Linked DNA regions of Drosophila melanogaster. The protein of the gene in region 2 interacts with the protein of the main gene of each other region in a pairwise test. Each region holds a gene or a part of one and is shown on either strand. Other genes may lie near its edges.

What was found. Proteins that work in one complex are often made in the same cells at the same time.
Region 1: the proteins of Ubc84D (region 2) and BORCS5 interact in a two-hybrid assay, tested with the Drosophila melanogaster proteins (one large-scale study listed by BioGRID).
Region 3: the proteins of Ubc84D (region 2) and CG10916 interact in a two-hybrid assay, tested with the Drosophila melanogaster proteins (one large-scale study listed by BioGRID).

The regions. Positions count from the first base shown.
Region 1 is NC_004354.4:11,870,738-11,874,484, forward strand, and holds BORCS5 (BLOC-1 related complex subunit 5), read right to left. Parts: upstream 2,043-3,747; 5' UTR 1,810-2,042; coding exon 760-1,809; 3' UTR 562-759; downstream 1-561. Other genes in the region: CG15739 (uncharacterized protein), read left to right, coding at 2,764-2,766, 3,145-3,528, 3,650-3,747.
Region 2 is NT_033777.3:7,518,111-7,521,314, reverse strand, and holds Ubc84D (ubiquitin conjugating enzyme 84D), read left to right. Parts: upstream 1-1,858; 5' UTR 1,859-1,956; coding exon 1,957-2,418; 3' UTR 2,419-2,495; downstream 2,496-3,204. Other genes in the region: alpha-Est7 (alpha-Esterase-7), read left to right, coding at 31-181, 240-803, 866-1,035, 1,091-1,564. UniProt on the Drosophila melanogaster protein: Catalyzes the covalent attachment of ubiquitin to other proteins.
Region 3 is NT_033778.4:18,171,728-18,176,286, reverse strand, and holds CG10916 (uncharacterized protein), read right to left. Parts: upstream 2,619-4,559; 5' UTR 2,478-2,618; coding exon 1,686-2,477; 3' UTR 562-1,685; downstream 1-561. Other genes in the region: CG5726 (uncharacterized protein), read left to right, coding at 1-207.

The DNA.
Region 1 (3,747 bases), on a different chromosome or scaffold from region 2:
TCCGCCTCGATTCACATTCAACGGTGTAGGCTAAAGGGTCTAAATATAATGTAAATGTACCATCCAGATGCTTGTGTGGAATTGTAATCGTGTGTATATGGAATGAAAAATGTTGTTTGCGTAGCGTTACCAAAAATAGTAATCAAATGTTTCACATTTGTTGTCCATAGTCGTATATGTATGTTTGTATTGTATTGTATATCCCTATATGCGATATTTACTCGTAGCTAGAATCTACTCTAAATCTAGACAAATTGTGTAAGAAGTAATAAATGTGCTTTTGACCGCTGTCTAATTGTTAATTGTAGTTGAAGACTTTATTGTTTGTATACATATATGCGGCAAGCATACGTAATAATATGCATTTGCATAAGAGAGAATACAGTGTATAAAATAAATATCCAAACCTTTAAATGGACAAATAAGGTCGTAAGCAAATTGGTTTCTTCCTTTATATGAGTTTCAAACGATAATACTGTGGTGAGATATCTATTGTGGTTGGTTGGCTGACCGAAAGAAAATTATCGCATTTGCAAAACTAGCCTCACTCCAATGATAAAGAATTATTTTTTCGTGATAATATAGAAAAATACTATTTGCATTTCGAGAAATAAAATATCAAATTGAGTTTAATATTAGGTTTGATTTACTAATTAAAAATCACGATTAAGCGGCATCGTTAACGAGTAATATACACAATAAATACACGATTATTATGAGCTAGGAAAATCTTTGGAGACCAATAAGTGTGTGGGGATCCTACAGCCGCCACAGGCGACTGCTGTTGCCTCCGATGGCGCCCTCAGCCTCGCCGCGCAGCTTGTTGTCGTCGGTGCGCCAGACGAAGGGCTCCAGGCGGTCCTCGTCGTCCAGGAAGTTATTGATCGCCTCCAGACTGGCTATGTTCTCGTGCAGCAGCGAGTTGCATCTGCTCAGCTGATGCGATATGCTCCGAATCTTGGCGAATTGCTCGGCGTACGAGGCGTACGTCTTCTGCATGTCCACGAATCCGGCAAAGAGGGTGGTGATCGAGTTGCTCACCACCTTGGTACGTTCCACGAGGTGATTCTGTTCGCTGGCCACATAGCTGGCGCACAGATTAAGATGTGTTTGCATGCGGGTACATATGTTGATCAAATGCTGCGAGTTTAGTCGCTCCAGAATCTCTGCATCTCGTGTATTGGTCGCCGACGTGATGGATTCACGGAGCACGGGCAGAAACTGCGGTATATTGCGCAATCGTGCCAAGTCCATGTCCACATCCTCGCCAGCATCGATGGCACCGGGACGCACAATCACTATATTATGACTAGAGGCCGTGGACTGTGGTCGCTTCGGTTTCACGGCGCTGGTGAGTCCACTCGGATGTGACTTCCTGGCCGCCGCACGGCTGGCGCTGCTCTGCTGGAGCATATGCGCCGGCTTGCTGCGTATCTTGGGCGAATCACCGATTGGCCGATCTGTATAGGACACATATGGCAGGTCGGAGCAGACGCTAAGCGGCGGCGAAGGCGGTCTGCTCAGTTCGGAGCCGCCGGGCGAAGCGGCCTCGGCGATGATCTGCTTGCTAGCTATCACAATGCTAGCTGGGCCCACTCCAGCTCCCGGGCCCACCACTGTTCCGCCTGCTCCTCCTGTCGTCTGCTGGCGATGACCAACTCCGCGTCGTTTGTTGGCCGCCGCCGTGGCCGCCAGCATCATGGAGCTGCCATCGCCGAGGGATCCAGTGCCCGCTCCTGGTGGCTGGCGTCCGTCGAAGATCTCGTGGCCATCGGCCTCAGCCCGCTGCTGCGAATGCTCGGCGCCCATTTATCGATCCGATTCCTGTCGATTCCGACTCCAAGTTCCGCGTACTCCTGGCCCGAATTTTGTGGTTAGCTGGCGCTGTCACTGTTGCTGTCCTGGGCCCACCTGCTGCTTCATTTCCAGTGGCCCAAGCCAGTCGATTTACACCTCAAAACAAATCGATGCCAAAGCCTCAAATCGAATCGCAACAAAGTCTCATTCAGGACCTAAAAATTTCCCAGCTGCCAGCTGAAATGCGCTAGTGCGTTTTTCGGTATTAAAGTACAGATAACGAGCTGTTTCCACTGCACGCTTGATGTCAGCTTTCAAATAGTAGGGGGGTTTACATATTCATTGAAATTCGGCTTTTCTTAAAAAAAAAAAAAAACGAATATAATAAAAGTGAAACTTTACTAAATAAATCATAAAACTATAAGCTAGTGATATTGAAATTATTACAAAATGTTCATATTAAATAGTTGTATATTGAAAGCTTCGGTTAGGTATTTTAAATACAGAAATACTAATTCTTTGGTTTTAAGATCTAGACATGGAGTTTAAATTTGAAGCCATAGCTTATAACTTTTAATTTCCTATCATTTCCTAGACTTTCTGTTGATAATTTTAAATATAAACACTATAACTTTTGTTTGCAAGCTCTTCTAATTTCGTTGTCTATTGTTTTGAAATCGAGCTCCACTTGGACTGTATAAGTAGGGGGATGTCGTTGGGGTTCAGATAAGACCAGGCGATAAGTGGAGAGCCCTCTCTTCCAATGCTTCCGTATAAGTTCACCAGTGTTTTGGTGGCCGTCGTCGTCGTTCTGCCGTTTGAGGTGCTAATTCTCAGCATGGGATATAGATTCTGTTTTGGTTTTGGTTTTGGTTTCGATTTCAGCTCGAGCAATATTCAGCAAAGTCAGTTGGCTGACGACCGTGATCGCGATAGCAACACTTTCACTCACCAGAACGGATTGCAATGGTGAGCAGGGAACAGGGCTTTGCTGGAATAATCTTATCGAGGTGCACCATCGATCCCCCTGCCTATTTGTTTTTTAAGTCTACGCATATACTATTATTATTATTTTCTGGGACTGCCATTTACAATTTTCCTATATTTTATACAAAAGTTTAACTAATGTTGGTCTAGGTCACGAATTACAACGCTAAAGATGTTTTGTCACCAAAAATGGAATTTTTCTTTTAATGCTAGAAGTTTTAAAAAGTGCTATAGATAAATTTCATTTTTTGTACAAAGCGCCGAACTTGTTAAGAATTATATAGTTTTTAAAAAAAATCCATTACTAGTTTTTTGAGTTTAATTATTGAATTAAATTTGAATTTTCAATTACAACCTTAGGCCAAACCCCAGCACATTTTGCAGCTAAGCCAGGAGCAGCGGAGCAGCGTTGTCGACTCTTTCGACCGGGTGGTCAGCGACATCGATGGCGTCCTGTGGACCTTTGAGCAGAGCATTCCGCGTGCCGCCGACGGATATGCCGCTCTCGAGCAGATGGGCAAGCATCTGACCTTCCTGACCAACAACAGCGTTCGCACGTCCGAGCAGTGCGTCAAACTCTTCGCCAAGATCGGGATGCAGGTGCACCCGGAGCAGATTTGGCATCCGGCCAAGTCCATCGTTAGCTATCTGCAGAGCATCAAGTTCGAGGGACTCATCTACATCATCGCCAGCCAGTCGTTCAAGACGGTGTTGCGCGAGGCGGGATTCCAGCTCCTGGACGGGGTGAGTGGTAAATAAGTTGGGTGAAGAGTGGTGCTGGTTTTCAGTGCTCCTGAATTTGAACAATCCAATAACCTATCTATGCATAGTTAAACTATATTTGATATACCAACTCTGCCTGTAGCCCAACGAGTTCATCGAGGAGAGCTACGCCAGCCTGGCCGAGCACATCTTTGGCAAGGAGCCCGTGCGCGCCGTCATCATCGACGTGGACTTCAATCT
Region 2 (3,204 bases):
TAAACATTTTTTATTTGTGGTACATTTTAGGTGAAGCCCGACAAGGCTCGCCCGGTTATGGTTTGGATTCACGGAGGAGGCTTCATTATCGGCGAGGCCAATCGGGAATGGTATGGCCCGGATTACTTTATGAAAGAAGATGTTGTTCTCGTCACGATACAGTACCGACTTGGGGCTTTGGGTAATCTACTGTGTGCGTATGCGCAATATTTTGACTAAACATTATTGTACCTACACAGGATTTATGAGTCTTAAGTCCCCCGAGCTAAATGTACCAGGAAATGCTGGCCTCAAGGATCAGGTGCTGGCCCTCAAGTGGATCAAGAACAATTGCGCTAGTTTCGGCGGAGATCCCAACTGCATCACTGTTTTTGGAGAGAGTGCTGGAGGCGCCTCCACTCACTACATGATGCTAACCGATCAGACCCAAGGGCTCTTTCATCGCGGCATCTTGCAGTCGGGCAGTGCCATTTGTCCTTGGGCCTACAACGGCGACATTACCCATAATCCCTACAGGATAGCCAAGCTGGTTGGCTACAAGGGCGAGGACAACGACAAGGATGTGCTGGAGTTCTTGCAGAACGTAAAGGCCAAGGATCTTATTCGCGTGGAGGAAAATGTCCTGACACTGGAGGAACGCATGAACAAGATAATGTTTGCCTTTGGCCCATCCCTGGAACCATTCTCCACGCCCGAATGTGTGATATCCAAGCCTCCAAAGGAGATGATGAAGACCGCCTGGAGTAACTCCATCCCCATGTTTATAGGAAACACTTCGTACGAGGGCCTGCTGTGGGTTCCAGGTTAGATATTGGGAATTTTTTTGAATTTTCTTTCAATAAGTAAATTTAATTTTATTTCACAGAGGTAAAGCTTATGCCGCAGGTGCTGCAGCAGCTTGATGCTGGCACACCTTTCATTCCCAAAGAATTGCTGGCCACGGAGCCCAGTAAAGAAAAACTGGATTCGTGGAGTGCACAGATTCGAGATGTTCATCGCACTGGCTCAGAAAGCACCCCAGATAATTACATGGATGTAAGTGTCGTCCAATTAGGTGCTTACATAATCATAAGCTGGTAATTTATTTCAGCTCTGTTCGATTTACTACTTCGTGTTTCCGGCCCTGAGGGTGGTCCATTCCCGACACGCGTACGCGGCTGGAGCTCCAGTATATTTCTATCGATATGACTTCGACTCCGAGGAGCTCATTTTTCCGTACCGCATTATGCGGTTGGGACGCGGTGTCAAGGGGGTCAGCCATGCCGACGATTTGAGCTACCAATTCAGCAGCCTGCTGGCTCGCCGGTTGCCGAAGGAAAGTCGCGAGTACAGGAACATCGAACGAACCGTGGGCATCTGGACCCAGTTTGCTGCCACGGGTAATCCCTACAGCGAGAAGATCAACGGTATGGACACTCTGACCATTGATCCAGTTCGCAAATCCGACGAGGTCATCAAGTGCCTCAACATCAGTGATGACCTGAAGTTCATCGATCTGCCTGAGTGGCCCAAATTGAAGGTCTGGGAGAGCCTCTATGACGACAACAAAGATTTATTGTTTTAAATTTAACTTACTGTTCTGTACAGCCTAACAAAGAAGTCTCTAGAAACTGTAAATAGGTCAAAATGCTTTATAAAATATATTCTGCAATTGGATTGTTTTGCTTTATAACTAGTTTGCCCAATGATTGCATGTGGATGAGAAATCCTAGTTTAGGTGAGATTTAAAAATATATATTTCTATTTATCTCTATATTTACCTCAGTTTACGCCATTTATTTAAATGCTTGATAACTTCTTAATAAGTTTGAATATAAAAACAATGTTCGACATGCCCTTTTGACTTTACTGTCAATAGCAATAGGAAAATTAAATTTTTAGACTTTTTTAAATTAACAAGTTTTTTTCCGAGATCTAGGGAAAACAAAGGAAAGGAACTCTGATCCCGTTGATAGAATGGCTGCCACTCGTCGTCTGACACGGGAACTCTCCGATCTGGTTGAGGCCAAGATGAGCACTCTGCGCAACATCGAGAGTAGCGATGAGTCCCTGCTGATGTGGACGGGTCTTTTGGTTCCGGAAAAGGCGCCCTACAACAAGGGCGCCTTCCGCATCGAAATCAACTTCCCGCCCCAGTATCCCTTTATGCCACCAAAGATCCTATTCAAGACGAAAATCTATCACCCCAACGTGGATGAGAAGGGGGAGGTGTGCCTGCCCATCATCAGCACAGACAACTGGAAGCCCACAACGCGCACAGAGCAGGTGCTCCAGGCCCTGGTAGCCATCGTCCACAACCCGGAGCCAGAACATCCGCTTCGTTCTGACCTGGCCGAGGAGTTCGTAAGGGAGCACAAGAAGTTCATGAAGACGGCCGAAGAGTTCACCAAGAAGAATGCGGAGAAGCGACCAGAGTGAAGTCAGCCGCAGCTCACATTTATTTGTATATCAAAATTATATATAGTTTGGACCATCAATTAAAACTTGTCAGACATAAGTTGTCCATATTTTGAATGTTCGCTAAGATATATGTATGGCGCATTAAATGGACGGTAATTCGATAAAAAAAATGGGCAAGAAAAAAAGTACAGTTAAAAAGAAATTCAAAATATTTTTCAAAATTGAGGTAAAAAAATTGTGGCCGTTGGTAAGCGTGGAATACATGTTGTTGGTTTATTGCTACAATCGTAGCCAACTCTTGGCTACTTGGCGGTGATTGTGGCCGGTGTCTAGCAATCTACTAAAGAAAACTTGTGCTTCAGCGCCTGTAGAATCTGCATGCTTGATTTCCCATTTCTAGCCATTATAGTTCCCGAGTTCACTCGGATATTGATCCTATATATGTACACATATAATTGATACCTATTACTTGATATACCCCTTTGTCTACGAGTAACGAATTTAATCAAATTACATTAATGTATCATTAACAGTAACAACAGGCAACCGCATTTGGCAATATCGTATTGGTAATTATAGCAATCATATTTACCTAATACAGTTACACATATACGCATAAGCTATCAAATATTGACCACATTCATCACTTTGGACGTCAGGTAGTCCACGTAGTGACGAAGCGTACCAGTAGCGTCTGCGAAGGATAATAACATACTTTCATATATACACGATAATAAAAGTCTGCTGCCGATTATAGCGAGTACCAATAGATATATACCAATAGAACACAAAAACTAAAGGAAT
Region 3 (4,559 bases), on a different chromosome or scaffold from region 2:
CCACAAAATCCACATCAGCATCAGCACCAGCGGCACCGCCATTTCACACGCCGCTCCCAGCCAGACATCCATCAGCCGCAGAACGAGGAGAACTGGCAGGGGCAGGCGGATAAGGGCCAACCACCATCCGGAAAGGAGGAAAGCGAGCTGGTGCGGAATGCCCAGCAGACCACTCAGTACATGAACTATTTGTCGGCCCAGAAATGAGTTTATACACTTTACGAAGTCATCCACATGTACGAAAATTGTTTTTGAAGTCCGTTTAGAAGTTATTTGTTTCGCCTTCGTATATGTTTCCTAATGGATGTGTATATCCACGTAGACTGTTTTCACATTATTTTGTCTTCAACTGAGCTCAAATGTTAAACCAATACAAAACAATTTAGACCAATCACAAAACAAATCCATCTCAAATCCAGGCTTAAAGAATATTAAGCATGCATGCATTACACATTGGAGCCACTAAATTTGTAAATACCAATTATATATATATGAATGTCTTGTGTAGTCCCACACAACCACGCCACATAAACACTCCCACACAAAATACAGTCACACACACTCATTTTTATATTTATATATACAAATTGCTTAGAAACTAAGTACAAAGTCAATGAAAAAACAAAAATAATCCTATTTCTATTGAAAAGTAAAACGCCTGTTGGTGAAATGTTAAAAGCATGTTGAACATATAAAAATTTGTATTTTTAGCTAAATATATACTTATATATTAAATGTCATGTTATAGTGCAGGTTCAGCCGATTTATTAAACGAATTATACAAGCTTACGTATTTTTAAAGCAAATTTTGTGAGGCCCTCTGTTGGAACAACAAAGCCAAGCCGGAGTGCAGAGAAAAACATGAATTGTAGAGTTATACGAGTAGTCTTATATAGATACTTAAACCTCTTTGTTTAGGTATAATCAATATGTTCGCAACATGCGTAGGTTCAAAACACTAATCAGCATATAAATAGCGTCTAACACATTTTTAATAAAACAAAAAAATTGCATTATCATTAATCAAACATTAAAACAAATTCTTTTGAAAACTTTTGAAATCACCAGCAGAATGTCATAGTCTTACCTCCGTATTTACATCACCTGATTGGATGAATGTATTTTCCGAATCCTTGTGGGTGACTCCCCTCGTCTTCTGCGTTTCCACTTTCCAGAACTTCTGTGGGCAACTCTCGGTTGTGCATACTTTACAAAAGCGATAGTAAGAAAGCTTTAAGACCGCAGTTTTTATTAATCTTGCCATTTTGAAGACAGTTGGTCCGTTTTAGATACAATATACAAAAAACCAAGATTTCCGTTTATCGTAGGCATTGATCAAGTCAAGGTCAAAATATTTTTAAACCCGTGTCTAGTCACAAACATCTTCACTTTCCAAACTATTATAAAGAATTGCATACTTGAGGGCAGCAAATAGCAGACTAACTTATACATATGTATATGGGGACTTTTATTTGTACATAATTTGCTGGCAGTCAAAACAAAGTTATCAATTTTTCGCTTGATTAAAGAAATTGGGGACAAATCTTGGCTTACTGATAAGCGAATTTAAAACAAGTACAGAAATAATAGATCCGATTTTTTTCAAAAATAGAATAAGACGTACATATGTATTTATAACACAGATTCATACAATAAGGCATAAGAGATTTAAGATATCAGCAGCATCATCGATCTGCCTGGTCACGTGGGGTGACCACCAGGACTTCGTAGGTGTTTACGCTCACCTCTTGACCATGATGCGGGATGTACATGACCTTGTGGGAAGGATGCACCTTGCCCAGACGCAGGATACCCTGGTAAAGACCACGACCCGTGTAGGTGACCTCACCCAGCTCGGAGTAGCCCGTGTTCAGAGCATCCCGCGGATATGTTCCATGCTGTCCGGGCACCCACTTGTAGTCACAGTCGTTGAGCACCAGGATCTCGACATCATCGGTCAGAGTTCGGGCGCTACAGCTGTGCGAACCGAAGGCAGCCTTCTTTTCCGGTACATAAGGAGCAGGCAGGAGATCGTCGTGGTAATATCCTCTGGCCACATACGTGGGCAGTCCGTCTTCGTTGGTGCCACACTGCACAGCTCCCTCGGGCGGCAGGTGGGCATCCGGTAAGCTGTCTCTGTCCAGATCAATGGGCACCCAATCCATGGCCACCTTGGGCAATTCGGTGTCATCGAACTCCGGGGCCTCGGCGAAGTTTAGGTACAATCGGTGCACGCGTCGTCGGTCGCATGGGTCTCTGCATTGGGGGCAGGTCCTGGACCTATTCAGCCATCGGGTGAGGCAGTCCTTGTGGAATACATGACCGCACCGTGAAGTTGAGAAAATTATGTCGTTGGCCCGGAAAAACTCGTTGCAAATTGCACATAAAATGTTCAGTGAAGGTGATGAGTCATTTGTGGGTGCAGTTTCTGCGATTTTTCCGCCGTTACCTTCCATTTCACTACTATTACTCTCCATAACTACGTCCCTATGGATACTGAGCTTTGAATATGTGTGGCTCTATTCTTCTGTTCCAAATTTATTTCACAACAATGAGCGGAAAACGAAACGATTCGTATCAACTTTCCTGCTTTATTAGAGATGACCTCTGGAGAATACCAAATATACTAGAAATACTGTTATTTTAATAAGTTTGAATCTTGATTGAAAATAATCCTTTAAATATCTTATAGCATTAAGTAAGTAACATTTATATTAAGTAACATTTATATTAGCGTCTTAATCATAACTCTATTTTGGCTAAGATAATGTACTGTGCTATCATTTTGTGGTTATCTACTGGATCTTTACTTTGTATTAAAGTAGCGTTTCAAACCTGCACCAGTACTTCGTTGGTGCCAACGTTAACCTCTTGACCGTGCTGCGGGATGTACATGACCTTATGGGAAGAATGTACCTTGCCCAGACGCATGATGTCCGTCCTCGTTAGTGCCGCACTGCACTGCTTCCTCGGGCGGCAGGTGGGCATCCGATAAGCTGTCTCTGTCCAGATTCATGAGCAGAGGGTGCTCGGGAAAATCCCTGTTATTCTTGTGAGTCAGAGGACAGGCTTTTAACCGGGTACTTCTGCGAACAAGTTCGTCGTGAATGCACCTGTGGCCCATTGTCTGTTCGGGAATTAGTTTCCGAATCCGGTATGGCGATGGGTCATTTGTGGGTGCTTCTCAATTTTCCATTTCTTTGCTGTTACCATCCATATCTGAATCCCTTTACACACTGAGCTTTAAATACGTATGGCGCACTTGTTTTATTTTAAAATTAACGGATACGAGCTTTATAGAGATGGACTTTAAGTAGTGCCAGAAATACTGTTATTTTTATATTTCGTAAGTTTACATGGATCTCAAACGCTTATAACATTTAATTTCAAACTTTTTGCTAATATTTAGGTCTCAAGGTTTCAGAACAATTTTGTTTTATTTTGTTATAGATTTTTACTAAATAGACTAATTAAAGTGTATGCCAGTTGTTAAACAAATGTATTTCATAATCAGGAAGTCAAATATGTAATGTATATATATAATAAATTTGGATTTTATAGCTAAAAACTAATAAAAGGTTCACCTGTGCTCAATAATAGTTTCAAATACTGTTCAGGTCATTTTTAACACAAGAATTTATAAATATTTAAAATTAGCTATCGATAAGTGGCACCAGGTACTTACGATACTCAACCGATCTGGCAACGACGCGCGGTACGTGGCTTCGGGACACGGAAAACAATTTTACGGGAAAAGCTAAACAAATTATGTACAATTCGCAATAAATCCGAAAAGATATAGGGACAAACACCAGACGGAGAAGAGGAGCACAAAAGGCTGCATGAACTGTAAGTGCCAAGGACCAGATACCCGTTTCTTTTTCTGCGTTCACCCGTATCCTTTCACTTTTAATTGCTAAGTTCAACATACAACTACAAATGGATATTCAGCTGATTTACAGCTAGTGCGGTTTCTCAATGGCTCAAATTATGTTTCCCAAACTTGCCGCCACTCCAATGGAAACAAGTTAATGTGCGCATAATATGCAAATTTTCTGTTTGTTTTGGTTTGCCAAAATACAAACAATACATACATATGTACGCAAGTACATAGTACATATCTATGTTTGGCACACACACTGACGCATTAACTGCGCTCTTTGTTTGCCGCCTATAAATAAACGCCAAAAAATGCGTACGAGATTATGCCATTTGTTGCTTTTCAGCTGTGCTTTGCGTACGTCAACAAAGCTTTATTATATAAACAAATACAAAACGGCAATCAGCTGTTTCTAACAAAAAATAAACGGTTGAATAGCCTTGTCATTATCATTGTTTATTGTGCTTTGCCATAGATATATGTATGTATGTACAATGGCCATTTCACTATTAAACGAAATTATTAGAACGGCTAATTAAACTCTCTATCTTTGGCTCTCTTGTGTCTTCTTCCAAGCCCCTCTTTTGAGATATGCACATAATTGACGCAAATATTGCATCATGCGTTTCGAGGATTCCCCTCATTTATTTCACTATATGTATTCATTTGCAGTATTGCT